3 linked regions of the Callithrix jacchus genome follow. The protein of the gene in region 2 purifies or fractionates together with the protein of the main gene of each other region. This does not show direct contact. Links are inferred from orthologs where the notes say so. Each region holds a gene or a part of one and is shown on either strand. Other genes may lie near its edges.

Evidence for each region. The genes of interacting proteins can lie anywhere in the genome.
Region 1: the proteins of BCL10 (region 2) and BIRC2 purify together in Homo sapiens (affinity purification with western blotting; 3 studies listed by BioGRID and IntAct, with this or other methods). This does not show direct contact. The link is inferred for Callithrix jacchus from reciprocal best matches to the Homo sapiens genes BCL10 and BIRC2.
Region 3: the proteins of BCL10 (region 2) and CSNK1A1 purify together in Homo sapiens (affinity purification with western blotting; 4 studies listed by BioGRID and IntAct, with this or other methods). This does not show direct contact. The link is inferred for Callithrix jacchus from reciprocal best matches to the Homo sapiens genes BCL10 and CSNK1A1.

Annotation. Positions count from the first base shown.
Region 1 is NC_133511.1:2,386,721-2,396,699, forward strand, and holds the start of BIRC2 (baculoviral IAP repeat-containing protein 2), read left to right. Parts: upstream 1-4,698; 5' UTR 4,699-4,858; intron 4,859-5,175; exon of another isoform or gene 5,176-5,227; 5' UTR 5,228-5,346; intron 5,347-6,017; exon of another isoform or gene 6,018-6,040; 5' UTR 6,041-6,145; intron 6,146-6,188; exon of another isoform or gene 6,189-6,319; intron 6,320-6,421; 5' UTR 6,422-7,684; coding exon 7,685-8,579; intron 8,580-8,678; coding exon 8,679-8,778; intron 8,779-9,979. UniProt on the Homo sapiens protein: Multi-functional protein which regulates not only caspases and apoptosis, but also modulates inflammatory signaling and immunity, mitogenic kinase signaling, and cell proliferation, as well as cell invasion and metastasis.
Region 2 is NC_133508.1:122,508,070-122,517,913, reverse strand, and holds the start of BCL10 (B-cell lymphoma/leukemia 10), read left to right. Parts: upstream 1-4,970; 5' UTR 4,971-5,036; coding exon 5,037-5,093; intron 5,094-8,885; coding exon 8,886-9,174; intron 9,175-9,844. UniProt on the Homo sapiens protein: Plays a key role in both adaptive and innate immune signaling by bridging CARD domain-containing proteins to immune activation.
Region 3 is NC_133503.1:48,237,239-48,247,097, reverse strand, and holds the start of CSNK1A1 (casein kinase I), read left to right. Parts: upstream 1-4,578; 5' UTR 4,579-5,086; coding exon 5,087-5,209; intron 5,210-5,859; coding exon 5,860-5,966; intron 5,967-9,859.

The DNA of each region.
Region 1 (9,979 bases), on a different chromosome or scaffold from region 2:
GCTTAGTGACGGCCTCTGGAGCCAGGCAATCAGGATTTGTATTTCTGCTGCCACTACCTGCTTTCCCTGTGACCTTAGGGATAATGACTTGCCTTCACTGAACCTTAACTTCCTCATATATAAAGGGGAAATAACCTTTACAATAAGCCTTTTAGGATGAAATGAAATAATTCAAGGAAAGGAACTTAACAATATACAAAACATAGAAAACCAAATAGAAGTTAGCTATTGTTAACTTTTATAAACATGAATTCCAAATTTTATATAAAATAATACCAAGTCAAATGCAGTAATGTACACACACACATAATGCATCATGGCGAATTAGGTTATATTTCAATAATGCAAGGACAGAGTCAACACATAATGCACTATTAGCAAGCTAGCATCCTTTTTTTTGTTTTGTTTTGTTTTGTTTTTTGTTTTTGGGGTTTTTTTTTCTGAGACAAGGTCTCTCCGTCACACAGGCTGGAGTGCAGTGTCAAGATTTTGGCTCACTGCAACCTCCCCCTTCCTGGCTGAAGCAATCCTCCCCACAAGCCTTCCAAAGTGCTGGGATTACAAGTGTGCACCACCACACCTGGCCCTATTTTCCTTAGTATATAACAATTATCACACTTAATGGTAAAATTTTAGAAGAAATTTTCATCAAAGTTAGGACGTAGACAAGGGTAGCTTCTATTACTGTCTCTACCGAACATGGCACTGGAGGTCCTAGGCAATGCGTTCAGCTGATACATAGGAAGTTGCCTTTTTTTTTTTTTTTAGGTTATGAGATGCCCAACATCAAAAATGTATGTGAGTCAACCTATAATAGAAATAAATCAACCAGGTGAGATGGATCATTCCTGTAATCCCAGCACTTTGGGAGGCTGAGGCAGGCAGATCACCTGAGGTTAGAAATTGGAGCCTAGCCTGGCCAACATGGTGAAAACTCTCTACTAAAAATACAAAAAAATTAGCTGGGTGTGATGGCACATGCCTATTATTCCAGCTACCTGGTAGGCTGAGGCAGAAGAATCACTTGAACCCGGGAGGTGGAGGTTGCAATGTGTGGAGAACATGCCACTGGACAGCCTGGGTGACAGAGTGAGACTCTGCATGAAAGAAAGAAAAAGAAAGAAATCAACAGGCACGGTGGTTCACACCCATACTCCCACCACTTTGAGAGGTGGAGGCAGGACAATCGCTAGAACCCACGAGGTGGAGATTGCAGTGTGTGGAGACCGTGCTACTGCACTACAGCCTGGGTGACAGAGACTCTGAAAAAAAGAAAGAGAGAAAGAGAGAGAGAGTTGAAGGAGAGCAGGAGGGAGGAAGAGAAGGAGGGAAGGAAATCAACCAGGTGCGGTGGCTCACACCTGTATTCCTAGCACTTTGGGAGGCCTAAGTGGGCAGATCACCTGAGGTCAAGAGTTGGAGACAAGCCTGGCCAAAATGGTGAAACCCTGTCTCTACAAACAAACATACAAAAATTAGCCAGGCATGGTAGTGGGCTCTTTGTAATCCCACCTACTCAGGAGGCTGAGGCAGGAGAATCTCTTGAACCTAGGAGGTGGAGGTTGCAGTGAGCCAAGATTGTGCCACTGCACTCCAGTCTGGGTGACAGAGTGAGACTCTGTCTCAAAAAAAAAAAAAAAAGGAAAGAAAGAAAGAAACATATGAAGAAAATGAAATTTTTAAATTGAAAAGAAGAAAACTACCTGTATTTGCAGACCATATGATTGTCTATGCAGAAAATCCAGAAGAATATACTGATAAATTATTGGGACTAGTAGCAGAATTTGCAAGGTTTTCTAATTCAAGATCAACTTAGAAAAAAACTATTAGCATTCCTGTACATCCGAAATAACCACTTAGAAACCGTAATAGAAAAAGACATCCTATTCACAATAGCAACAAAACCCTGAGAATATATCTAGCAAAATGTACACAGACCTTTCACGAAGAGTATTGCTATAGCCAGAATGTGTCTCCAAAAATTCCTGTTTAAAACTTAATTGCCAGAATGATAGTATTAAGTGGGGGCCTTTAAGAAGTAAGTCATTAGGGTGAGCCCTCATGCATGAGATTAGTGCCTTATAAAGGGCTTGAGGTGATGGTACATCTGTTCTTTCTGCCTCATGATAACATAGCATTTGTCTGCCCCAGAGGAATCAGCATTCAAGATACCATCTTGGAAGCAGACACCAGGCCCTCACCAGACACTGTACCTTCTGGAGCCTTGATCTTCTTCTTCCCTCCCTTCAGAACTGAGAGAATAACTTCTGTTGTTTGTAAATTACCCAGTCTCGGGTGTTTTGCACTAGAAAAAGACTAAGACAAATATAAAAATTACTCATTGACTTAAAGGAAGAGCAGAAATATAAGCCATATATATTATGAATGGTAGGACTCGATGCTATAAACCTATAATTTCTCACTGAATTAATCTATAAATTCAAGCAATTCCCAGACAAATCCCAATAGAGCTGTTTTTGGAACTTGACAGGCTGATCTGAAAATTCATGTAGTCATTGAGGGGCCAAGATTAGTGTAGCTGACCTGGCGCGGTGGCTCACACCTGTAATCTGAGCACTTTGGAAGGCCGAGGTGGGTGATCACCTGAGGTCAGCGGTTTGAGACCAGCCTGGCCAGTGTAGTGAAATCTCATCTCTACAAAAAATACAAAAATTAGCTGGGCGTGGTGGCATTTGCCTGTAGTCCCAGCTACCTGAAAGGCTGAGCCAGGAGAACTGCTCAAACCCAGTAGGTGGAGGGGATAGGGAGCCAAGATAGAGCCATTGCATTCCAGCCTGGGTGACAGAGTGAGACTTCGTCGGTGCAAGACTGTTTCAATTACCATGGTTTTATTATAATTCATTACCTGTTAGGACAAGACCTTCCAATCTTACTTTTCTTCTTCAAAATTGTTTTAAATACTGTAAATATTTTTTTATACATAAATACAAAAAACGTTAGCACGGCAACTTTAGCAGACATCTATAGCTTATTTAAAAAAATTAACAGCAACTCTATACTAGCAAAATGAAAAACAAATTAACTGAATAAATGAGTAACTGAATTAAATAACACTAGGCTACAAAGTTATACAAGATTAAAAGTTATGAAGTACTATTTATTATACCTAAACGATATTACTTTTTTGGAAAAATTATCTAAGGCTTTTGCTTTTTTGAAATGCAAGCTTTCCCCTATACTTAAGTATATTCATTATCTTACTGTTTTGGTCAGGACAAGAACTGAAAAAGAGAAATAATCTTGAGTTCAGAATGAACAATTCTTGTTATATGTATTTTCCCACATGTTAGGAATGTTCTGTAACTTTCCGAGAAATAGTGACTTCAACTAAATACTAAACTACTACCAAGCCCCAGCTGTATTTTTGGATGTGTTTAGTCATTGGGAGCCATGGCATTTCTTTTTTCTGTATTACGAACTGTTACACTCACTTACTCTGACTGTTAACATTGGAACAGAAGACCTCCTGTTCTGTGACTGATTGGCAGGCAGAAATGACACGGACAGGAAATGGGAAATGGTTCAGGGTCTCGGAATTCCCCCGGCTGCCTAATTAAGTGGCTTGCTATTTGGAAGTTTTTAAAATGTTTGTCCCTTGGAGTTCCCCAGAGAGAAGCAAGCATCAGATTCAATGGGCAAAGAGCGTCAACTTCAAAAGTCTTTGGCTGTCATACCAAAAACATTTACTGCATGCCATTGTGTCTATGGCACCACTGAGGGAGCATGGAGGTGGACACAAACGGTCCATGACTAGTAAAAGCCAAGGGTTTTTATCTACAAATTTTCTATTACCTAAGCATTAAAAAAAAATTGGGCTCCTCTATGGTTTATGTACAATTATATGTGCGTGTACACCAACATACAGGCAGGAGTATGTCTTTCATTTTACTGAAACTCAGAAAACACCGGAGCGTGAAGCCTGGCTTGCAATACAGTTCCCGTCGCTAGCAAGGAGCATCTGAAATACCGACACTTTTCCTCAGAGCGTGATTTCAGTATGCACTGCTGGTCTCCAGAACCGAAAACCAAAAGTTTAAAAACAAGATACTCTAGTTGATCATAAAACAATTGTTAAGTCTTCACAATTATTCATCGGATGCTTCCTACTTTCCAACGCTTCGCTGTTTTCGATTTGCACAGCCAACCGTTGGACATCGATGCTACACAGTTACGATTGTTTACTTAAGCAAAATATGCCACCAGACCGACTCCATCGTCAAAATCCAGTCATCTCGACGACGAGGGAAGGCATCACACTGGGGGGGGGGCCTTGCCAGGGCCAGGCCACAGCCCTGAGATGACACATGGTAGGACGCGCAAAACCACCGGCGCCAGGGTGTTTCCGCAGATTCAAACGCAGCGGCTCACGTTCTGCCACGTCCCCCAGGAGAATGGTGGCCACAGAGAGAAAGGAAATGTGAGGGGCACACACCGCAAGGTAAATAAAACGAACAAACACCGAGTTGATTCGGATAGCCCCATTCCCCTGACAACCCAGCCGGCGACTCCCGTGGGCGCTCACTGGCGCCGGGCCTCCCTGGGCCACCCGGCGTCTTTCCCGGAGGTTTGTCTCCTCACCGCCTAACCCGCGCTGGGTTTCGCTTTCCCGCCCCGGCCTCCCGGGCGCCCTCCCGCGGAGGCTAACGCGGGTCCCCGGCCCGGCGTGCTGACGTCACCGTGCGTCGGCGTGGGCCCGGCTGGGGCGGCGGGCTTCGGGAGCGCGGGGGCTGATACGAGATGAGCTGGCCGTATCTCCTAGTAGGCGCCGCCGCTTCCCGGCTCTGAGGAGGCCTCTCGGTAGCCGCGCAGCTTCCGTGTTTGCTGCGCCCGCACTGCGGTGAGTGCTGCTCCTTCCGGGCTCGGGCGGCGCGGGACGGGTGGGGACGGGTGGGGACGCGCGGGCCCGCGGGGGCCCACTTCCCTAATGTGGTGGCTGCGGGAGGAAGGACGCGGCCTGGGGCCCGTCGGCCGAAGGTTGAGGGTCGCCGGGGGTTCTGTGCTTTCCACTCTCACCGAGGTTTTATTTGATTCGGAAGCCCCAACTTCAAGACTTGCAGTCAAAGCGATTTTTTAAATAGGACTTGTTTTCAAGCCTCCTCTGGCCGCCGCCCACTCTTCTGGCCCTGGGACCTTGACCAAGATGTTTTCTCGCAGTTTTTTTTTTGCAAGGTTTTAAACTTAGCTTTCGGCTTTCTTTTAATGGAAGACATGGAAACGAAGACATTTCGGTGGCGCCGAGATCTCAGATTTCATAGTTCCCACTGCGCTGTCACTCCGGTAGTCGCCTGCGGTGTGTTGTGAGGAACAGCTCTGGGAAAGTATTGGGTAAATCCCATAGCTTCTATTCCTTTCCTTTCCGCCCTGTCCCCTTGCCCCGCTGCAGTTTGCATAAAGAGAATGCAGCAGTGTGGTGCTCGTAGATACAAATCTTTCATTTAAAGACAGGCTATGAGACGGGGTGTAATTAAAGCCGTCACGGCAGTGGTCACCGTGCCAGGACCACTGTTTCACAGCCCATCGTGTTAGGTTTTGTTTTCGAGTTGCTTTCTGCGGTTGTTGCCTTGGAATTGTAAGGGAATGGTGGCGTTTAAGGGTTTATATTAATGAGCTCCTGTTTTACTGCAGTTTTCCTAGTCGTGCAGAGACTTGATATTTACACACTAACGTTGCTGTCTAATTACTGCTGTACTGCTGCTCACCGGGTTTAGTGGAGTGTCTGCCTGTCTTTTTAACCAACGTTCCTTTGCCTCCAGGAGAGTGCCAGAGATAACTTAGGTCAGAAAAGGAGAGGAGCGCAAGGACAAAATGTTTTTTCCTGTGAAAATGTCCATTTGCCTTCAAAATTGTACATTTTCAAGACAGTATAGTTAGTGCTCTGGGAAGTATATTGCATTTATTTATTTTAATTAAGTACTTTTTCAGTTAGAAAGTTGTAGTGACAAATTGCTGGAATTAAGATGTATAATCTTTTCTTTTATTATTATTATTTTTTTAAGACAGAGTCTTGCTCTGTTGCCAGGCGCCAGTCTGGAGTGCAGTAGCGCAATCTCGGCCCACTGCAATCTCCGCCTCCTGGGTTCAAGCAATTCTCCTGCCTCAGCCTCTCAAGTAGCTGGGACTACAGGTGCGCGCCGCCATGTCCAGCTAATTTTTGTATTTTTTACTAGAGACAGGGTTTCACCATGTTGACCAGGATGGCCCGATCTCTTCACCTTGTGATCCGCCCACCTCGGCCTCCCAAAGTGCTGGGATTACAGGCGTGAGCCACTGCGCCCCGCCAAGATGTATTATCTAAAGTGTAAATTATTCTTTCACTTCACTGAATAAATTGAAGAGTATATAAGTTCTATTTGCCATGCAAATACAGTTTTCTGAAATACCTTTTGTTTTTTCTTTTCAGATTTACAGCCCTGAAGAATCTCCCTCTCCCTATTTTTCCCCCTGCAGTAATAAATCCCATTATGAAGACCTCGAAACTTTATAAAGGGATATAGTTTGAATTCTATGGAGTGTAATTTTGTGTATGAATTGTATTTTTAAAACATTGATTTCAGAAAGAAGGCTAGTAGAGTTGATTATTGATACATTATGCTAAGCAGTACTTTTTCGGTAATAGAATATTTTGTTAGGCATTTCTGATAACACTAGAAAGGGCAGGTTACATCTTGTGACAAATTGAGTAATGTTTAATTACAACATGACTGATAATTATAGCTGAATCGTCCTTAAATGATGTACAGGTTATTTAGCTTTTAAATGCAGTGTAAAAAGTGTGCTCTGGAAATTTTACAGTTAACTAAGTTTATGGAGAAAATACCTTTAGTTAATCAAGAATAATAAAACTGTATACAAAGTTAGGCAGAAAGTCCACATGATGCTGCAGGAAATGGAAACAAATACAAATGATATTTAACTAAGATAGAAGAGTTTACAGTCTGTGAACTTTAAGCAAAGTTCATTTGACATCAAACACTGTAACTGGCACAGGTTCAGCAAAGCTTGTGGGTGTTGGCTTCCCCAAAAGTTGTCAGCTGAAGTAATATAGCCCACTTATGTAAATACTCTGATGATAAGGGGTGTGAATTTAGCCTTTAAGTAGTGTGACCATATGAAGATTTTAATTACTTTTGTTTATTGGAATAAAATGAGATTTTTGGGGGGTTGTCATATTAAAATGCATATAGGGAAAGATGCCTGCATATAATTTCTTACCTTGTGGCATAATTCAGTAATTGTCCTGTTATCCAGGCTTAATAGCTTGTAACCAAACATAAATAAAAGGCATAATTTAGGTATTCTATAGTTGCTTAAAATTTTGAGAATATAAATCTCTTTGAAAAATCAAGGAGTTTTAACATTTTCAGAAGTGCATTGACTTTTTCTGAGCTTTTCGTTAGTATTATACAGATTATGAACAAATAGCACTTAGGTTGCCTAAAAGAGTGACTATAACCCCAAAGAGTCGTGTTCTAAGTAGTATCTTGGTAATTCAGAGAGATACTCATCCTACCTGAATATAAACTGAGATAAATCCAGTCAAGAAAGTATAGTGAATTCTACATAAGAGTCTATCATTGATTTCTTTTTGTGATAAAAGGTCTTATTTAGTGTGAAGAAATTTCAAGTGAATGTTTTAGCTATCAAACAGTACTATCACCTACTCATGCACAAAACTGCCTCCCAAAGACTTTTCCCAGGTCCCTGGTACCAAAAAATTAAGAGTATAATGGAAGATAGCACGCTTTTGTCAGATTGGACAAACAGCAGCAAACAAAAAATGAAGTATGACTTTTCCTGTGAACTCTACAGAATGTCTACATATTCAACTTTCCCTGCCGGGGTTCCTGTCTCAGAAAGGAGTCTTGCTCGTGCTGGTTTTTATTATACTGGTGTGAATGACAAGGTCAAATGCTTCTGTTGTGGCCTCATGCTGGATAACTGGAAACTGGGAGATAATCCTATTGAAAAGCATAAACAGCTATATCCTAGCTGTAGCTTTATTCAGAATCTGGTTTCAGCTAGTCTGAGATCCACCACTAAGAATACGTCTCCAATGAGAAGCAATTTTGCACATTCATTATCTCCCACGTTGGAACACAGTAGCTTGTTCAGTGGTTCTTACTCCAGCCCTTCACCAAACCCTCTTAATTCTAGAGCAGTCGAAGACTTGTCTCCGTTGAGGACTAACCCTTACAGTTATGCAATGAGTACTGAAGAAGCCAGATTTCTTACCTTCCATATGTGGCCATTAACATTTTTGTCACCATCAGAATTGGCAAGAGCTGGTTTTTATTATATAGGACCTGGAGATAGGGTAGCCTGCTTTGCCTGTGGTGGGAAGCTCAGTAACTGGGAACCAAAGGATGATGCTATGTCGGAACACCGGAGACATTTTCCCAACTGTCCATTTTTGGAAAATTCTCTAGAAACGCTGAGGTTTAGCATTTCAAATCTGAGCATGCAGACACATGCAGCTCGAATGAGAACATTCATGTACTGGCCATCTAGTGTTCCAGTTCAGCCTGAGCAGCTTGCAAGTGCTGGTTTTTATTATGTGGGTAAGAAGCAAGTAACTCTACATTTTATCAGTTTATTTCAATTTACGTATTAGAACATGGGTTTTCAGTATTTGTTTGTTTGTTTGTTTTTCCCTGGAGGTCGCAACGATGATGTCAAATGCTTTTGTTGTGATGGTGGCTTGAGGTGTTGGGAATCTGGAGATGATCCATGGGTAGAACATGCCAAATGGTTTCCCAGGTAATTGTTTTGAAAAGGTATTTGTACAAAAACTCTGCTAACTAGAAGTAGGCATGCTTACGTGATAAAGTTTACCTTTAAATCATAACAAAGCCTCTTTTATGCCACTGAAGAATTACCCTTCTAAAAGACCACATTTTAACTGTAATTATTTTGTTGAAAAGTATTCTTCTGTGTACTTTTCTTTTGTAATTCAGTTACAGTTATGGCCATACATTTTATTTATTTCCCATTTTCTTTTAAAGAGTACTTAAGGATTACAAAGACTTTATATAAAATAGAACAAAAAGAAGATAAGTTAGAAAAAGGTAAGAGAAGGAAAATAGAATAGATGCAGGAATAAGGCAAATTTAAAAAATGCATTTATTAAGAGCATATCTGGGCTGGGTGCAGTGGCCCACACCTGTAATCCCATCACTTTGGGAGGCCGAGGCAGTCCTTGGATCATCAGAGGTCAGGAGTTTGAGACCAGCCTGACCAACATTGTAAAACCCTGTATCTACTAACAATACAAAAATTAGCCAGGCATGGTGGCACATGTTTGTAGTCCCAGCTACTTTGAAGGCTGTAACAAGAGAATCACTTGAACCCGGAGGCAAAGGCTGCAGTGAGCCAAGATTGTGCCACTGCACTCCAGCCTGGGTAATTTAAAAAAAAAAAAAAGGCATATCTGCCCATTTTAATTGTAATTGTAAATTTTCTATACAGTTTTTTTTTTATAATCTGTCATTTACCTCCTTTTAGACACTTTGTCTCTAGCAGTATTTTTTTATTATATTCTAGAAAGAATTTAGGGGCAGCATTATTAGTAGAAATAGAATTAGAGATTGTCTTTATAATTGAGTAGCTATGTGAACTTGGATCTCATTGGTAAAATGAGGGGTTGCCCTAGATAATTTTTTAAAATAGTGATAAAATAGGCATAGCATAACATTTACCATCTTAACCATTTTTAAGTGTATAGTTCTGTGGCATAAAATACGTTAATACAGTTGTGCAGTCACACCACTATCCATCTCCAGAACCTTTCCATCTTCCCAAACTGAAACTGTCTACCCATCAAGTACTAACTCCCCATGACCCCTTTCCCCAACATTCTGGCAACCACCATTTTATTTCTTTTCTTTTCTTTTTTGGAGACAGTCTTACTCTGTCATCCAGGCTGGAGTGCAGTGACACAATGATCTTGGCTCACTGCAAC
Region 2 (9,844 bases):
CCCCAGGAGTCTTCACAAAGTCCCCGTACTGAAAGATCTGAATCTCACCACATAATATCTTGCCATTAAAACCTAAGAGTGTCTGTCTCTGGACTGGCCATTTTTTCTTCCAACAATTTTCAGATATTTTATAATCCACAATTTACAATTCCACAATTACCTGGAATAGAATTTGTTCCTCAATACAGCATCTGACATCGGGCAGGAAGTATGGAATAAATTATCAAGAAGCAGTTAAAGCTCCACCTGTTAAAATCCTCCCACCCAGCTAAAATACTGGGTGAACTCCTCTTTCATATTGTTTATTGGTCAGAATGGTTTCCTCTTCCCTGCCTCTGAATTCTTGCTATCACTATCTTTACTGCATACTTACGAACTGATCCAAGATTATACAGCTAATAATTGCCAAATCTAGAATCCAGCTGTACTGACCTGAATAGCGTCTCCCCAAAATTCCCATCTCCTAGAACTTGGAACGTGAACTTACTTCAAAATAGTGTCTTTGGCTGGCATGATGGCTTATGCTTGTAATCCCAGCAATTTGGGAGGCTGAGGCAAGAGGATCGGTTGAGTCCAGGAGTTTGAAACCAGCCTGGTCAACATAACAAAAGACACTGTCCCTACAAAAGTAAAAATTAAAAAAAAAAAATAGCTGAGCGTGGTGGCACATGTCTGTATTCTCAGCTACTTGGGAGGCTAAGGAGGAGGACTGCTTGAGCCCAGGAATTTGAGGCTGCTCTGAGCCATGATTATGCCATTGTACTTCAGCCTGGGTGACAGAGAAAGACCCTGTCTCAAAAGAAAAAAAAAATTGTCTTTGCAAATGTAATCAAATGAAGATAAGGTCATATTGAATTAGGATGGATCCTAAATCCAGTGACTAGTGGCCTTAAAAAGAAGGAAATGTGGACACAGAAACACAGAAGAAGAAGCTCATGTGAAGATGGAGGCTGGGGTGGGAGTGATGGTGCCACAAGCCGAGGAATGCCAAGGATTGCCAGAAGCCCCAGAAGAAAGAAAGAGGCAAGAAAAGAGTCCTCCCTTACAGCTTTAGAGAAAGCGTGGCCCTGCCAACTTTGGACTTCTAGCCTCCAGAACTGCAAGAGAATAAATATCTGCTGGTTTTGGTAATTTGGTATGATGGCCTTAGGAAGTGAATAGACTGTCAGATGTCAGACACCCTCATGCTTAATGACTCTCATCCACACCATGATGCTATGTGGCTCATGCTTGTAACACCTAAACTGCATCCTGCACAGCACATTTCTCAGTAGAAGGCACTACTACTCTTCTATTTCACAGTAGGAGGCACTAGAAGTTGAGGGGGGATGGAGGCTGTTTTTAGGGATGAGGAAGAGGTAGGATTATTGCAAGGTAGTGGATGGGTGGGGCTGTTTTTCTGAAACTATGCCCAAGCTTCATTGTTAGCCAGACCCTGTGAGTTAGCAGAAAGAGGAAAATTAGTTTAGTAATGAAAGAATTGTGATGCACTAGAAAGCAAGAAGGATTGGAAGTTGCAAAGCCTGCCACAAACGAGCTCTGTGATTAGGCACATGGTATTCAGATGTGGCCGCTTAAGTTAGGCAATTCATCTTGGGAACGTTGACACATAGCCTGAAAAGCAAAATATTACTCTTTCTGCAATTAAAAAAAAACTCCTGGAATCCTCATTCATTCCCACCCAATTCCTGCCCCTTACTCTATAACTCCCAATTCTAACACAGAGCAGAAAGTTAACTTTTTAGTTGACCAAATAAATAAGGGAATGAATACTGAGGACAGAAAAGGGTTGGCGGTATCAGAAATGAAATGATGTGAGTCAAGGAAAGAGAAAGACTCAGATGTATCGTAAGGGCATGAAAGAATGTTCAAGAATCAAAGATGTCTGCCACTAACATTTGGTAATCCAAAGCCATAACAGAAGCAAATGTGACAATATATTGATATCTGTTCAATCTTGGTAGTGAGCATAGGGTGTTTGTAATATTCTTTATAGTTTGGTGGGTTCAAAATGTTTCCTTTAAAAAAGAACAAAAGTGCAGTAGCAACCTCCAAATAGCCCGATCAAAGTGAGTGGTTAAATTGGCAGCATTCAGTTCACTTGCTTTGATGGGAGAACCCCTCCTTCATCAGCAGAACTGATTTCCCACACACGGATAGACCAATACAACCCTTTTGGAAAGCACCTGCAAAAATATATATGAAAAGCCATAAAATATTCATTTCCTTGGGCTTTGTACTCCTACTCCTGGGAATTTATGCAGGCAATGATAATTTGAAGGGAAAAACGGTGAAAATATGTAAAGTCTGTGACAATTTTTTAATAACAATGAACACTCCGAACGATTTAAGGTTTCAGTGGGGAGTGCTCACCACTGCCCCAACCCTGGTCCCGCCACCCTAAGCTGTGCCTGGATGGCTGTGTATAAGGAACAGAGCTGTGCTTTGGTCAAGGATAAGCCGAAGTAAACATCCAAAGGCACTCAGCAAGTTTAGAGCACAGGCGTAAAACTCCACTCGTTATCACAGCCATGTAGCCATGACATGGGAAGGTAATCCCTTGGCTCTAAGCCACTATTGTCTGTAAAAGATATAATTGCCCTGTTGACACTGTGCAGGCACACTGGTGCCCAGAGAGAGAGAGAGAGAGGGAGAGCCAGAGCTGTCTGTCTTGCAGACGAACAGTGGGGAGCCAGGACAAAGCTCGGCTTGCTTGTGCCCAGACAGAGTAAGAGTATAGCTGCTGACCCTGAAGGCAAAGCCCACCACACACCTGTGTGGGGGTGCCGCTGGACTAAGCAGCTGAGACAGGGCAGACAGTATAGACAACTAGTGTAAGAAAGCTGTTGATGAGAGTTGCTGCTGAATAAAATCTTTCACCTGTCTATGGTCCTCCCGGGTGTTTCTTCTATTCATCCACCCACTCCCCTTGGACCTCAGCAATGGGCTGGAACCTGACCCCAAGCATGACATTCGAGGAAGTGGTGACCCTGACACTGTGGTAGTCTCCACCTGGTGTCTGCTTCTGCCCTTGCCCCTGCCTTCTACTCTCCACTCAGCAGCCAGAGTGATCCTTTCAAAATGAAATCAAACTGCTTCCTTGCTTCTCTTCAAAATGCTCCCATCACCCTCACTGCTCCACCCTGGTCTGAACCACCACCTCCTGGGGCCTGAATATAGCAATAGCTCCCTAACTGGTTTTCCCTCTTCCACCTTCTCTTCCCTTAGCACAAAAGTGAAAGTATTTCTTTTCAAATCACAAATCGGATCAGGTCACTCAGCTCACAACCCTCCAGTGGCTTCCCGTCTGACTCAGCACACCCATATGACTCAGCACACAAGTTCATCTCCTTCTAGGCACACTGAGCCTTTTTGTTGGTTGCCGGCTGTACTCATAATGCTCTCTCCTTATATCCACACGAATCACTCCCTCACTTCCTTTAAGCATAAATCAAATCCCTTATCTCAGTATTGACAAGCCGAGAGCAGACTCCTCCAAAGTGAGCAGTGCAGTCATCGACCACGTTAGTTTAAATGTTGCCAACCCACACAGCCTCATCCTACTTCCCTGTTTTATTTTTTCCTCTTAGCGTTTATCATCTTCTAATATATTAAATAACTTATATATAGCTGGTCATGGGGGCTCGTGCCTGTAATACCAGCACTTTGGGAGGCCAAGGCCTGGAGGTGGGAGGCCTGACAGATCACCTGAGGCCAGGAGTTCCAGACCAGTCTCACCAAAGTGGTGAAATCCCGTTTCTACTAAAAGTACAAAAATTAGCCAGGCATGGTGGCACGCACCTGTAGTACCAGCTACTCGGGAAGCTGAAGCAGGAGAATTGCTCGAACCCAGTGAGCAGAGATCGCGCCATTGTGCTCCATCCAGCCTGAGACAGAACGAGACTCCATCTCAAAAGAATAAATAAATAAATTCATTAATTTAAAAAACTTAGATATAGCTGGGTGTGGTGGCACGCGCCTATAATCCCAGCTACTCGGGAGGCTGAGGCAGGAGAATCACTTGAACCCGGGAGGCAGAGGTTGTAGTGAGTGGAGATCATGACACTACATTCCAGCCTGCGTGACAGAGTGAGATTGTATCTCCAAATAAATAAATAAACTTAGATAAAAATTTTCAAGTGTCTACCTCGTCTGCCCCAAACACACATAGGCTAGAATATAAATTCCATGAAGAAAGGGATTATCAGTTTTATACACAGCGGTTTTCCTAGCACCTAGAACAGTGTCTGGCACATAGTGGACAATCAAAAAACATTTTTTTCTTTTCTTTCGAAAATTTTTTTTCTTCAAAAATTTCTTCAGTATTTTAGTTACGCTGTTTGTGTGTATGCATGTGTACGTGTGTGTGAGTGCGTTTGTATATGCCCAAAACAGTAACTGACAAACATAGCATCAGGAAATTGTAGGGCAGGATCTGGGAAAAGGGGAGGAACCCGAAGGTACGGACAAGCCTATACCGGACTCCCCCGAAGTGAGCAAGCAGCAAAGGCTGACAATGCCAGCTGCCTGGGCACTGACGGATCCCACCCACGGAAACGTTACCTTATGGGGAAGCTAACCCGGGCCACTCGCCGACGACCTGCGCAGGCGTGGCTTGAGAAGCGGCCCCGCTGTGGGCGGAGCCACCGGAAAGGCTCCGGTGGGGGGCGGGAACGGGAGCGGCCAGCGGGGTGCCGCCGATAGGCTGCCGCAGTGGCAGGGTGGGCTCTGCCGAGGAACCCGCCTCGCCCGGGGGCGGTGCCTGCACCTTAAGCCTCTGGGAGAGGGAAGGAGCGCTCCTCCTAGCTCCGCGTCGCGACGTCTAGATTTGCGACGCCGTCGACCCCAGGGGCGGGGCCGGAAGCGCTACGGTTTGACCCCCAGCTCTGTTCCCGAAGGGGCGGCAGTCTTTCTCCCTATCCGCTCCGCCTCCTCGCCTTCTCTCCCATTACCCGGAGGCCGAAGCTCTCAGTCAGGGCGGGGCGGCGGAGCGCGAGCTCCTAGACCCGGAAGAAGCGCCATCTCCAGCCTCCACCATGGAGCCCACCGCGCCGTCCCTTACCGAGGAGGACCTCACTGAAGTGAAGAAGGACGTGAGTAGCGACATTCTGCCCAGGGCAGGAGGGGGCGGGCTGCAGTCCAGCGGGCGAGGGAAGCGGAAACCTGGAGTCCGAGGACAAGGAGGATCCTCCAGGTCGGAGGAGCGGAAGGTCCCAGCACGGGAGGAATGCGGCGAGCCCTGCATCCGAGGGACCTGGGTAGCAGTGACCTGTTAATCTAGGTTTTACGTCGATAAACGCAGAGCTTGGGCTTTGGGAACCTTGCCCAGCGGAGCTTTGCTTCTTGCCCACTCCTCTCCCATCCCCGCATGCTTTTCCCCCACTGCGTTCTTGGAGATGCTTCTTTAGGGACTGGCGGCTCAGATTCATCCTTGAGTCTGGCCGCCTAGGCTACTATATCAGCCTAGAGCAAAGGTTGTACCAGATGAAGGATCCCGAGCAGTGGACCAAAAATGTGAAGCTCTTTTGCATAGGGGGCTGGAGGAAGCTCAACAGCTGAAAGCACAACCCGGAATTCCCCTAGTTAGCAGACACCCACATATTTAAATTGGGGTTGGGGGAGTGAATACACGTAGCTGAGAATTATCCTACAGGTAAACGTCGAAAATATTCAGTAGCTAAATTATGCTCTTCTCGGATGGTGCAGAACTACATAAACCTTCATATTGATTTGTATCGCATGGCTTTGTTGAGATATGACATTCTTTTGTGTTTAGTTACTTGTTTTGCCAGATGAGACCTATATGAGTTTCACTAAAACACTTTATATAAATTCAAATTAAAAACAAACTGAACATGAAACGTGTTCTTATTGAGCATTGCGGTACTTTTACACAGTCATTTTGGTGAACTGGACAGGATGGCAACTTTTTAAATGTTCATCCACTTCAAATCCCTTCCTCTTCCCTGTAAGGTTTATTACACTGTACTCACAATTGGTGTGACTCACCAGCAGAAGGAAACTGGATATGACTGGGACTTGTGCTTAGTTTCCTCATTCAACAGAGATTTATGGAGCACTTACTATATGGAAAGCACTGACCTTGGGTCTGGAAGGATACAAAAAATGAAGATCAGTTTCCTGCTTTATATTCTAGTTGAGATAAGAATGGCATATAAATAAACTACTGTAGAATAAATGTTGGCTTATTCATAGTGAGTACCAGTAAAACCTTGAACTTCCAGGAGCTAGGCCTCCTATGTTCCACATTCTGTGTCACAGTTTACAATGTTCCCACTTAACCTTCACAACAACCTCTAAAGAAGATAATTGCCATTCACATTTTACAGCTAATAAAACAGGAACTGAGAAATTACAAGTGGAAGGAAATAAGACCTGTATACAAATACAGTTGTAAAGACTGGCTTCCAGGTCTTTGTTTTTCTGTCAGTTCATTGATGTTATCCATCTTCAGGATTTCATTTTATGCTTATATCAGAATTGCATAACCTTGAAATGATGGATGGATTTCAAAAGGTCTATGAAAAAAACTATGTGCATGCTTTCTTCTTAGAGATTTTTTTCATGATATTTTCAAAATGTTTTCTGATCTTAGAAAGTTTTAAAATTATCATCAAAATATTTGGACCTCTCTCTCTACTCTTGGTCCTTATTTCCAAATGTCTACTGGAAATCTACTTTTATATCCTACAGATTGCTCACCTTGACAAAAATTGAACGTTTTATCATCCTTCCCCCTCAGTTGCTTGCTGTTGCTGCTGTATTGTCTGTCTCGATGAATGGTGTGCTACCACTCTTCGTCTTGGGACCGCTCACTTCTTTAGTGTCTCTTGCTGTCTGGTTATTTGCCTCATCGTGTTGGTTGGATTTAGTCCAATTTAATAAATATGGATTACATGCTACTGTGAGGCTGATACTGTGGTTGGTTCTACAATTTAAAAAATTAAAAACTAAGACAATCCTAACTTGAAAAGAGTTCAGTTTCTTGAGGGGGATCATTTTAAATCCCAAAAATAAGTGCAGTGAGTTTTGCATTCATCTGAAGCATTATCTACTTGGTGCTCTGGGTTAAGTACAGGATAGACAGTGTTGCTTAAAACATACCTCTTTGCTGCCTGCTTCAAACAGAGATGTTAGAGTTGAAAACAAATAAATGTATTTTTACATTTATTTGTTTTCATTATATAAATGAAAACAAAATAGATTTATTTGTTTTCATTATGGCGGTTATTATGAGGGAATCAAACAGTGCCAAGACAGTAATAGGGGAAATCGACTTGAGATAGGATGGTCAGGAGAGGTCACATTTAAACTGATTCCTGAAGAATTTGACAGAACTGAGGGAAGAGCGTTCTAGGCAGCATAGAATTTGCCAAGGACCTAAAACAATCAAGACCTTGGTGACTTGGAGAAATCGGAGGAAGGCAGAGAGGATAATCTGAAATGCAGTTAGGAAGGTGGGCTAGAGCCATTTTCATGAAGAGCTTTTTAGTAAAGTGTTTGGGTTTCTTTTCCCCAAAGTATAGTAGGGACTCGTTGAAGAATTGTATTTTTTAAATTCCCTCTGCCTGTTTCATGGACTGAGGAGAGCAAGAATAAGAGCAGGGAAACCATTGAGCAGGCTCCTGGAATCTATGTGGATGAAAGATGATGGTGATTTGGATCAGGGTGAAGGCAGTGGAGATGGATGAGCCAGGAGAATTCCAGATGCATTTTTGAAATAGATAAGATAGGACATGGTGATGGACTGGACGTGAGAAATGGGGAAGAGGATGTTTAAAAGTGAAGTGTTAGCTTGAAAATAGGGTAAAAAAAAAAAAAAGAAAGTGTTTATTCACACAGGAACCGATCACCTAGCCTACTTTCCCGCCATCATATTCTAGGATATTTCTAAGACCTTCCATTACCTTTGTCATCATCACTAGCATATATTGATCCCTTACTCTGTACCAAGCACTTTTTTAAGCACTTTGCATATATTAATTTATTCATTCCTCATATAACAGTCAGCTGAAGAAACAAGTACAGAAAAGTTAATTACTTGCCCAAGATCCTGTGTCTAGTAAATAGAGGAATTAAAGTATAATCATTGGTATCAAATTATTAATGCCATTTATTGAGATCAACGTGGATTTTCTACTAATCAAGCTGTCAGGTACTTCTCAAGTCTAGGTTTGCTTTTTTGGTGTCCTTTTTCTTTATTTCTTCCATTTTTTCCAACAGTCACTATTCCTTTAGGTTTCTCTCCCCACACATCTTTCCATCTCCGTTCCTCCAAGACTGATTCACTGAGTTAGAGTGTAGTCTTTCCAGCTGACCCCAAAGACAGATACGTTATGGGCCCTTTCCATTTAGGGATTTGTTTTTGTTTTTAACAGTTTTACTCTAAGGAAATAGAGTAATTAATGACAAACATGAGAAAGTTACAGACTGTGAAGCCTCTCACTTCTAAGTTATTGGTCCTAAGTTATTAGGACTAAGTTATTGGTCCTAATTCTGGATTCCTTGCTAACTGATAAGTAAAATGTACAGTAGTCTTTGCCCTCATCTTTACCTCCAAAGATGGCCCTCCACAGACCTCCCTGTTTCCGAGGACCCAGGCCCTCAAGATTCAGCTGGTCCCTCCTCACAACAGCCTGCTCTTGGGTTTTAGGTTTGAAGGTGAGATAAGAGCAGTGAGGAATGTCTAGGACCTACTTGTGTCTATTTGGATTTTCATTTTATTTAGCACGCATTTTACAAGGCCTGAGCCTCCTCACTTTAGAATTTTCTCTCACACCAGTTAAGATTCCCAGCTAATGCACACCTATGTGATTTTCTTAGATGTTACAGAACAACATTGAACCATATTTTGTGTCTTTTAGGCCTTAGAAAATTTACGTGTATACCTGTGTGAGAAAATCATAGCCGAGAGACATTTTGATCATCTGCGTGCAAAAAAAATACTCAGTAGAGAAGACACTGAAGAAATTTCTTGTCGAACATCAAGTAGAAAACGGGCTGGAAAATTGTTAGACTACCTACAGGAAAACCCAAAAGGTCTAGACACCCTTGTTGAATCTATTCGGCGAGAAAAAACACAGAACTTCCTGATACAGAAGATTACAGATGAAGTGCTGAAACTTAGAAATCTAAAACTAGAACATCTGAAAGGTAAGATATCTTAGGTATCTAAGAGTTAATTTAAATATAATGATGCTTTTAAAAAATGCAAAGCAGGCCAGGTATCTGCACTTTAGGAGGCTGAGGCAAGAAGATTGCTTGAGGTCAGGAGTTTGAGACTGGCATGGGCAACATAGCGAGACTTTGTCTCTACAAAAAATTTAAAAATTAGCCAGGCATGGTGGTGCATACCTGTGTTTCCAGCTACTCAGGAGGCTGAGATGGGAGAAGCCCTTGAGCCTGGGACACTGAGGCTGCAGTGAGCCATGACTGTGCTACTGTGTTCCAGTCTAGGCAACAGAGCAAGACCCTATCTCAGAAAAAGCAAAACAAACCAGAAATGATCATTTTGCTTTCAAAAAGTTTAAACTTCAAAATTATATTCAATTTGTATTTATTTTCCCTTATATGACATTACATTGAAAAGTGGAATATCACTCAACATCCTGTATTTATATTTATTTAATACCATTTATAGAAAACTATTATGAAATCCCTGTATACGTAAGCGTTTGTTTCTAAAGTCAACAGAACGTAAAATTAATCTATTCCAGAGTAACCTCTGAAAATACTGTACATAACACATAAAGAACAATATTTTGGCAAAGTATTTTAAAAGTCTAACTCTGCTAGTTTTTCTCCCACCAGTTGATCACAAGAT
Region 3 (9,859 bases), on a different chromosome or scaffold from region 2:
CAGCACTTCTGGGAGGCTGAGGCGGGTGGATCACCTGAGGTCAGGAGTTCAAGACCAGCCTGGCCAACATGGTGAAACCCTGTCTTTAAAAAAAAAAAAAGAAAGTACTTTAAATTGCAGGCCGGGTACAGTGGTTCATGCCTATAATCCTAGCGGTTTGGGAGGATGAGGCATAAGGATCACTTGAGTCGGGGAGTTCAAGACCAACCTGGCCAACAAGGCAAGATGCCATTTCTACAAAAACTTAAAAAAAAAAAAAAAGGCTGGGCGCAGTGCCTCATGTCTGTAATCCCAGCACTTTGAGAGGCCGAGGCTGGGGGACCACCTGAGGTCAGGAGTTCAAGGCCATATGGTGAAACCCCATCTCAACTAAAAATACAAAAATTAGCCAGCGTAGTGGCAGGCACCTGTAATCCCAGCTATGCTGGAGGCTAAGGCAGGAGAATCACTTGAACCCAGGATGTGGAGGTTGCAGTGACCAGAGATCGAGCCATTGCACTCTAGCCTGGTGGACAAGAGCAAGACTGAGTCTTAAAAAAAAAAAAAAATTAGTCACAGTGGTGCCTGCGTATAGTCCTAGCCACTGGGGAAGCTTGAGGCAGGGGGATTGCTTGAGCCCAGGAGGTCCAGACTATAGTGAGCTATGGTGGTGCCATTGCACTCTAGCCTGGGTGACAGAGTGAGACTTTGACTGTAAAAAATAAAAATAAAAATAATAAATTGCGAAGCACTAAAAAATACAAGTATTATTATTGAACTAGGTGAGCTCTATATTTCCCTCAAGGTCTAAATTTTTTTTTTTTTTTTTTTGAGACGGAGTTTCACTCTTGTTACCCAGGCTGGAGGGCAAATGGCACGATCTCGACTCACCACAACCTCCACCTCCTGGGTTCAGGCAATTCTCCTGCCTCAGCCTTCTGAGTAGCTGGGATTACAGGCACACACCACCATGCCCAGCAAATTTTTTTTTGTATTTTTAGTAGAGACGGGGTTTCACCATGTCGACCAGGATGGTCTCGATCTCTTGACCTCGTGATCCACCCGCCTCGGCCTCCCAAAGTGCTGGGATTACAGGCTTGATCCACAGTGCCCGGCCCTCTTTTCTCTTTTGTTAAAGAGTCAGGGTCTCACTATGCTGCCCAGGCTGAAGTGCAGCGGCTAGTCACAGGCGCGATCTCACTACTGATCAGCACTGGAGTTTTGACCTGCTCTGTTTCCGACCTGGGCCGGTTCACCCCTTCTTAGGCAACCTAGTGGTTCCCCGCTCCTGAGAGGTCACCATATTGATGCCGAAATTAGTGTGGACACCGAATCGGCATAGTGCGCTACATCCCAGAACTCCTGGGCTTAAGCAATCCTCCAACCTCAGCCTCCCAAGTAGCTAGGACTACAGGCACATGCCACCTCACCTGGCTAATTTTTGTATTTTGGGTAGAGACGGGGTTTCAGCATGTTGGCCAGGATGGTCTCGATTTCTTGACCTCAGATGATCTGCCCACCTAGGCCTCCCAAAGTACTGGGATTACAGGCATGATCCACTGCCCCCAGCCCTATTTGGTACATTTAAAAGACTCCTTTCATTATACCAAAGCTGCTGCTGATTTAGTAAGTACAGAATGATTTGTGACTTTAGTAGCAACACCAAAAACAGGTTATTCTTCAGTCTCTTAGGATGCAAGTTCGTGCAAAAGATACATGACTTTAAGGAGAAGGCTGAGTCATAGCCAACACCTGAGGACTTTATTTTCTATGTTAAAAAAATTTTTGGGGGCCGGGTGCGGTGGCTCATGCCTGTAATCCCAGCACTTCGGGAGGCCGAGGCGTGTGGATCACGAGGTCAAGAGATCGAGACCATCCTGGTCAACATGGTGAAACCCCATCTCTACTAAAAATACAGAAAATTAGCTGGGCATGGTGGTGTGTGCCTGTAGTCCCAGCTACTCAGGAGGCTGAGGCAGGAGAATTGCCTGAACCCAGGAGGCGGAGGTTGCGGAGAGCCGAGATCACGCCATTGCACTCCAGCCTGGGTAACAAGAGCGAAACTCCGTCTCAAAAAAAAAAAAAAAAAAGAAAGAAAATTAGCAAAATAGTAGTGATCTCTGGAAAACTCAAGATGCTTAAACTTGGCTTTTTTTTTTTTGAGATGAAGTTTTGCTTTTGTTGCCCAGGGACCAGGCTGGAGTATGACGGTATGATCTCGGCTCACCACAGCCTCTGCTTCTCGGGTTCAAGCGATTCTCTTGCCTTAGCCCCCTGAGTAGCTGGGATTACAGGAATGTGCCACCACACTCAGCTAATTTTGCATTTTTAGTAGAGACAGTTTCTATATGTTGGTCAGGCTGGTCCTGAACTCCTGACCTCAGGTGATCCACCTGCCTAGGCTTCCCAAAGTGCTGGGATTACAGGTGTGAGCCACCATGTCTAGCCATATTTGGCTTTTTTTTTTTTTTAATTTTAGACCAGAGTTTAACAGCAGATTTTAACTTAGTCAAAATGTGCTTTCGAGTCACCAAAGGCAAATGATGTCTAATAGGGCTGATTTGGGAGTTGGGCACCCCAGGTGTTGGTTGTGCTTTAAAACTTCATGCTAAACCTTAGGGGAAGTCTTTTCCCCTCTCTCTTCAGTTAAGATCTCTTCCAAGATGAACCCTATTACTAATTACCTGATCAGCTTTCAAAGTTGCAGTTAAAATACTTCACATTTTTTTCCATTTGTACTTATAATTTTTTTTTTGAGACAGGGTCTCTCTGTTGCCCGGGTTGAAAGTGCAGTGGCGTGATCTACGCTCACCACAATCTCTGCCTTCCGGGTTCAAATGATTCTCAGCTTCCCGAGAAGCTGGGGTTACAAGTGTGTGCCACCACACATGGCAGATTTTTGTATTTTTAGTGGAGATGGGGTTTCACCATGTTGTCCAGCTAGTCTTGAATTCTGACCTCTGGTGATCCAAACACCTTGGCCTCCCAAAGTGCTGGGATTACAGGCGTGAGCCACCACTCCTGGCCATCAAATTTTGTAAAACAATATGTGGTCAAGATTTCATTCTCTGATCTATTTTTAGTAAAAAGAAAAAAATTACCGTGTAGTTTGTTTTGTTTTTGAGACACAGTCTTACTCTGTCACCCAGCTGGAGTGCAGAGGCATGATCTTGGCTCACTGCAACCTCCATCTCCCAGGTTCAAGCGATTCTCCTCTCTCAGCCTCCTGAGTACCTAGGACTACAGGCGCCTGCCATCACGCCCAGCTAATTTTTGTATTTTTAGTAGAGATGGGGTTTCACCATGTTGGCCAGGATAGTCTTGATCTCTTGTCCTCGTGATACCCCCGCCTCAGCCTCCCAAAGTGCTGGGATTACAGGCGTGAGCCACCGTGCCCCTGGCTACCATATGGTTTTAAATGTTGTCAATTATGTTTTGCGACAGTTACCTCTGCTATATGTTAAGGTTAATATTGAGGTTTTCCATATGACCAACATATGATTCTTTTTTTTTTTTTCGTTTTTTTGGTGGGATTGGGAGGAGGGCTAGAACAGTTTTTTCACTCTTGTTAATTTTCTGTTGATTCCACCTATTACTAATCTTCATTATGGCAAGATACCCGGTTTTCTCATGAAGATCAAATGTGGTAGTGGGGCAATAATGCAAAGACAAAGGACGGTAGGAGGATTCCGGCTTCTTTTTTCCCCTCCTGAGCAAACAGGGTCTCTAACACTCCGTAGTAGAGAACACAGTTCTATTTATGAAGGGTAATTAGCTGGGCTTTGCTACAACCGAGAGCCCTGAACGATTCGATCAGCCCGATACGCGGGCTGCTTTTCTCTTCTTCTCCACCAGAGGCGATAGCCTCTTTCCAAACAGAAACTTGGTTGCAATAGGCCGGTCGGGGGGAGCGGCCAGAAGATCAAAGATTAAAAACCGCCTGAAACAGGCCGGGCGCGGTGGCTCATACCTATAATCCCAGCACTTTGGGAGGCCGAGGCGGGTGGATCACGAGGTCAAGAGATCGAGACCATCCTGGTCAACATGGTGAAACCCTGTCTCTACTAAAAGTACAAAAAAAAAAATTGGCTGGGCATAGTGGCGTGGGCCTGTAATCCCAGCTACTCGGGAGGCTGAGGCAGGAGAATTGCTTGAACCCAGGAGGCGGAGGCTGCGGTGAGCCGAGATCGCGCCATTGCACTCCAGCCTGGGTAACAAGAGTGAAACTCCGTCTCAAAAAAAAAAAAAAAAAAACCTCCTGAAACAAAGAGCAAAGGTCAATACCAAACTCCTAAGGAGGCCTGAAGCTTTTATCTGTTAGGAAACGGGAAGGTGACTTCTCCCTGACATCGGTGCCTGAGGCCACTCAGCCTTCCAGAGACCGGGCGGGTCCGGGCGGGTCCGTGGTAACAGGTAGCACCGGCTGAACAGCCGCCAACCGGAAGTGGAAGAGAGCCTGGGGCGGGGTGAGTACCAGCCGCGGCACGCCTGCGCAGTCAGCAGGAGTTACAGTGCTCATGCGCAGCTGGGCGGTGACGAGGTGACGCTTGGAGCGTGGGCCGCGACTCTCACGGATCCGGTTCCGCCCTCCCTCTGGCTGCAGATCCTCCGGAGCGAGCGCCCGAGATCCCTTTCCCAGAGTGCTCTGCGCCGTGAAGAAGCGGCTCCCGGGGACTGGGGGCATTTTGTGTTGGCTGGAGCTGGAGTAACAAGATGGCGTCGTCGGCGGAGTGACAGGGGTCCCTCCGGGCCGGAGCCAGCAGCAGTGCTGGCAGTGGTATCGCCGCCCTAGCTCACCGCGCCCCTTTTCCTGCCCGCGACGTCGCCGCTCAAGCAGGCATCGGCCGCCAACGAGAACAAGTGGCCCAGCCTGGTAGCCGCGAGAAGCCCTTCACAAAGTGCGGCCTGGCAAAAAGAAACCTGACTGAGCGGTGGTGATCAGGTTCCCCTCGGCTGATTCTGGGCCCCGAACGCCGGTAAAGGCCTCTGTGTTCCGTTTCCTGCTGCCTTCCTCCGTAGCCTTGCCCGGTGTAGGAGCTCGAGAGGTCTCCGTCTTCCCCTCAGAGGTGTCGGGGCTTGGCCCCAGCCTCCATCTTCGTCTCTCAGGATGGCGAGCAGCAGCGGCTCCAAGGCCGAATTCATTGTCGGAGGGAAATACAAACTGGTACGGAAGATCGGGTCTGGCTCCTTCGGGGACATCTATCTGGCGATCAACATCACCAACGGCGAGGTAATCACCTGGGGTAGGGTTGACGATAACGCTGGGCATTTCCTCATTCCCCGCCCCCACCACCGCGCACCCCTAAAGTGCTTGGGCCTCTCCCCACCGCACGCACTCGTCAGGGAGTCCAGAGAGCTAGTTTTCCTGGCTTTTGAACCTCCCCCGCTCTTTCCCTAAAAGGATCAAGAACCCGATAGAAAGGTTGGGGAAGGTTCCCAGCTTGTTAAACACGTCCCATAAATGTCCCTTAGTTGAACTTTTTTTTTTTTAACCGTTTTTTAAGGTGGAAACGGCAAAATCCTATTTCTGTGATTCCCATGCTTTTATTTTATTTTATTTTTAATTCTGCTGGCCTCTTATTCCAATTAGAACAGTTTCCGATCGCCTAGTTCCTTAAAAACCTCTCATTACGTTCAGAGGTTGCCTCTTTTTTTCTGGATGAATCATTTTCCTGCACTTTAGAAGAGGTAGGGATTTCGTCACTACCCCCTGAAGAGGCTGGTTGCCTCATTTTATAATTACAGAGAGCTTTCTCTTTCCAGTCTTTCGCTTTTTCCCTGTAGTCGCGACTTGGAGTTTTGCTAATGTCTCTCCCTCCTTTCCTAAGTGACATTGAATCCGTAGGGATGTTGATGCCATCATCCCTCTTTCCCCTGCAGGAAGTGGCAGTGAAGCTAGAATCTCAGAAGGCCAGGCATCCCCAGTTGCTGTACGAGAGCAAGCTCTATAAGATTCTTCAAGGTGGGGTTGGCATCCCCCACATACGGTAAGAACCCTGTGCATATAGGCGGTCTGCTGAGGGAAGCACGGAATGGGGAAGTGGGTAGAGGCAGGTAAGGAGACCAGCTGAATCCAGGTCTTGGTGTTTCAGTTACCTGGGTTCCCTACAGCTAGTGGCTTCCTGTAAGTCAGTTATCGCAATCACTGAGTAAATTTCAGTTTGCTAACTTAGTTTAAAATTTCATTGTATTACACTGTGTCCCATTTCGCTTCCGTCATTTCTCCCTCTTCCCGAGGCTTTCATTTGCAGTAAAGTGTGCAGGTCATCTTTGATCTCTACGCGGAAGGTTTGACTGCTGCCTTTTTTACGGCGGCATGTCTGGTGTTCAGAGGTTTGCTCAGTGAAGTGGATTTGAAGGTGGCGAAGCGACAGGGCAGTGTCATTTCGGGTTGCTATTGGAGCTGGCTTGGGAAATGGCTGCTCTTTTGTTGTGTTTTTGTTCCAACATGTCTTCCTCCTCCGCTTAGAAAATGGCGGAACGACGTGACTCAACCCCATATTCCTGCCCTTTTCTCAGCTTGGGTTCACAAATTATGCTTCCTTGATACCTCCTTCAGCAGCCCCAAGTGGTTTAAACCTTTGAAAAAGTCAAGAATAAAGCTGCAGGAGCCAGTGGGGTTCCAGGAAGGACATGGCATAGTGACAATGTTTGTGATCTCGTCAGCAGATATGATACGAAATTGTTGAATTATACTATGTAAAATCCTTTGTAGTTCTTTTAAAAGTGTTAATTACTCTTTCCTTTAGTGAATGGTCATGTTTGTCACTTTTCAGTCCAAACTAAATTTGTATAGATAGTGGCAGAGGCAGTTTGAGCACCACCATGTTAAAATTTACTCAGCTCAGTTTTATTAAAAGAGAGCTTAATCACTTAGCCACACTTTGATAAGTAATTTTAACCTGTTGAGTTTATCAGTAAATTTTAACATCAGAGAAATTGTGGCCTTTTTTGGTGTGGAATATTGGTGGATACAAATAGTGGTAATGAGGATACAAGGTGACGAGATAGAAATACATTGTTCCGTCAACTCTTGAGGGTTTTAGAGTAATGTTTTGACTTTAGGGATTAAAAGAGCCTCTTCATGGAATAGAGACTAAAATGTAGTTTAAAACCCAGCTGTTTTCCAGCGATAATAAAAAAAAATTTGCAAAAATTTTCAGAATAGTTGAGAATGGTATTTACTGTTTACTGGAGCCTCTTTTTTTGTTTTGTTGTTGTTGTTTTTGTTTTGAAATGGCGTTTTTGCTCTTGCCACCTAGGTTGGAGCGCAGTCACACGATCTCTGCTCACTGCAACCTGTGCCTCCCAGGTTCAAACGATTCTTGTGCCTCAGGCTCCAGAGTAGCTGGGACTACAGGCTGGTGCCACCACGCCCAGCTAATTTTTTGTATTTTTAGTAGAGACGGGGTTTCACCATCTTAGCCAGATGGTCTCCATCTCCTGGCCTCGTGACCTGCTCTCTCGGCCTCCCAAAGTGCCGGGATTACAGGTGTGAGCCGCCACGCCTGGCCTAATTTTTGTATTTTTAGTAGAAAAGGGGTTTCACCACGTTTGTCAGGCTGGCCTGGAACTCCTGACCTCAGGTCATTTTCCCACCTCAGCCTCCGAAAATGCTGGGATTATGGGTGTGAGCCACCAATCCTGGCTTTTTTTTTTTTTTGAGAGGAGTCTTACTCTGTTGCCCAGGCTGGAGTACAGTGGCACCATCTCGACTCACTGCAACCTTCGACTCCCGGGTTCAAGCGATCCTCCTGCCTCAGCCTCCTAAGTATCTGGAATTACAGGCCTGCGCCACCATGCCCAGCTAATTTTTTGTTTGTTTAGTAGAGATGAGGTTTCACCATGTTGGCCAGGGTGGTCTCAAACTCCTGACCTCAGGTGATCTACTGGCATGGCCTCCCAAAGTGCTGGAATTATAGGCGTGAGGCACTATGCCAGGCTTGTAGCCCCTTTTCTATTTCAGGTTTTTTTTTTTTCAGATCTTGAATTAAGGACTGGATTGCATAGTGCTTACATGGAAACAACACAAATAAAACTATCCTAAAAAAAAGTTCCAAAGCTGTTAGTTTTTATTTTCTATTAAAAAAAAAATTTTTTTTTTTTTTTGAAGGGACGGGGTTTCACTGTATTGGTCAGGCTGGTCTTGAACTCCTGACCTCAGGTGATCCACCTGCCTCGGCCTCCCAAAGTGCTGGGGATTACTGGCGTGAGCCACCGCGCCGGGCCAGCTGTTAGTTTTGACGGAGAACTGAATGATAAAATTTGCTATTGGTTGTAAATGGGCAGGTAAATCACTTGGAAGAAAATTCCAAATTTATCTTTTGACGTAAAGATTAATGTGAAATCTAAGATGATACAGATTTGAGGTTTCAATTTATTTATTTTTTAAAATTTTATTTATTTATTTATTATTATTTTTTTAAAGATGGGGTTTCACCCTGATGGCCAGGCTGGTTTTGAACTCCTGACTTCAGGTGATCCACCCACCTGGGCCTCCCAAAGTGATAGGATTACAGGTGTGAGCCACTGTGCCGGGCCTGATTTGAGGTTTTTAAATGGTTCTTGTCTTTAAAAAAATCCTGTGTGGGAAAATAAGGCCCCTTACACCCACTGATTGCTTTCTGTCACTAGTTTTTCCTAGAATTTCTTACAGATGGAATCATATGGTATGAGGTCATTTGTGTCTGGCACTTTTCACTTAGCATAATGTTTTTGAGATTATTTATGTTGGGAGATTTTATAAATTTCACAAATCAGGTTAAATTTAATATATTTGAAATCATTTTCAGAAAGCATTAAGCATTGCCATTTTCACTGCTAAACCCAAGTTAAGTACATGCCCTTTTATCTGGTAGCTTTTATTTAAGACCTGATACAGACTCATAAGGGCAATGAGTAATAAACTGAATAAGCACATGAATAAATTAACTTCTGAGCTGAATAATAATAATAGGAGCCTATTATAAGGTGGTGAGTGTGAGAGAGTTATGGTAGTTTTAAGCTCTCTGTGGGTGGGGCTAAGCAGATTAACCTGGCTTTCAAATTAAGGCTTCCTGAGAGAGGAGATGGGATTTCAGGATCTGGGTCTGAGGAAGAAAGCTTGGTGAACTGGTTTGGGAAGGCATCCAAGAATAGAGTGAGGCTTCTGGGTGTAGTCTCTAAGGAGAATACAGTAACTGGATGAGGGTGTGGAAAGGGTAAATTTACTTTAGGAGTGGTAGCGTCAGGTACATGGAAACAAAAGTGGTTTGTTGGTTTTAAAGTGAAATGTGAAGAAAAACCAAAAACCTGTGTTTCCATTGAAGCAAAAAGGATAAAGATTTATATAAACATTCTTTATTTGGATAACAACATCTTCCCATCCCCTTCAGTCTGTTTGCCACTATTTCTATATCACCCATACGTGGTGCATACTTAATAAATATTTACTTGGTAAGTATTGAATTAAGTTGACTGTTTACTTTTAGCTAGATAAAAGTTAGGTATTATCCATTGTTTTAGAAGTATTGTCACTAATTTAAAATTTAAATTTTTCTGCCTTTACCCTTCATACACAAATTTGTTCAATCCCTTCCCTATGTTTTCTGTTAAAAAACTCCCTGTAGGATTTGCTTTGCTTTTTTTATTTTTAATTTTTTTGAGACAGTTTCACTCTTGTCACCCAGGCTAGAGTGCAATGGCGTAATCTCAGCTCATTGCAACCTCTGCCTCCTGGGTTCAAGTGATTCTCCTGCCTCAGCCCCCCAAGTAGCTGGAATTACAGACATGTACTACCACATCCGGCTAATTTGGTATTTTTTTAGTAGGGATGGGGTTTCTCCATGTTGGTCAGGCTGGTCTCAAACTCCCAACCTCAGGTGATCCTCCCGTCTTGGCC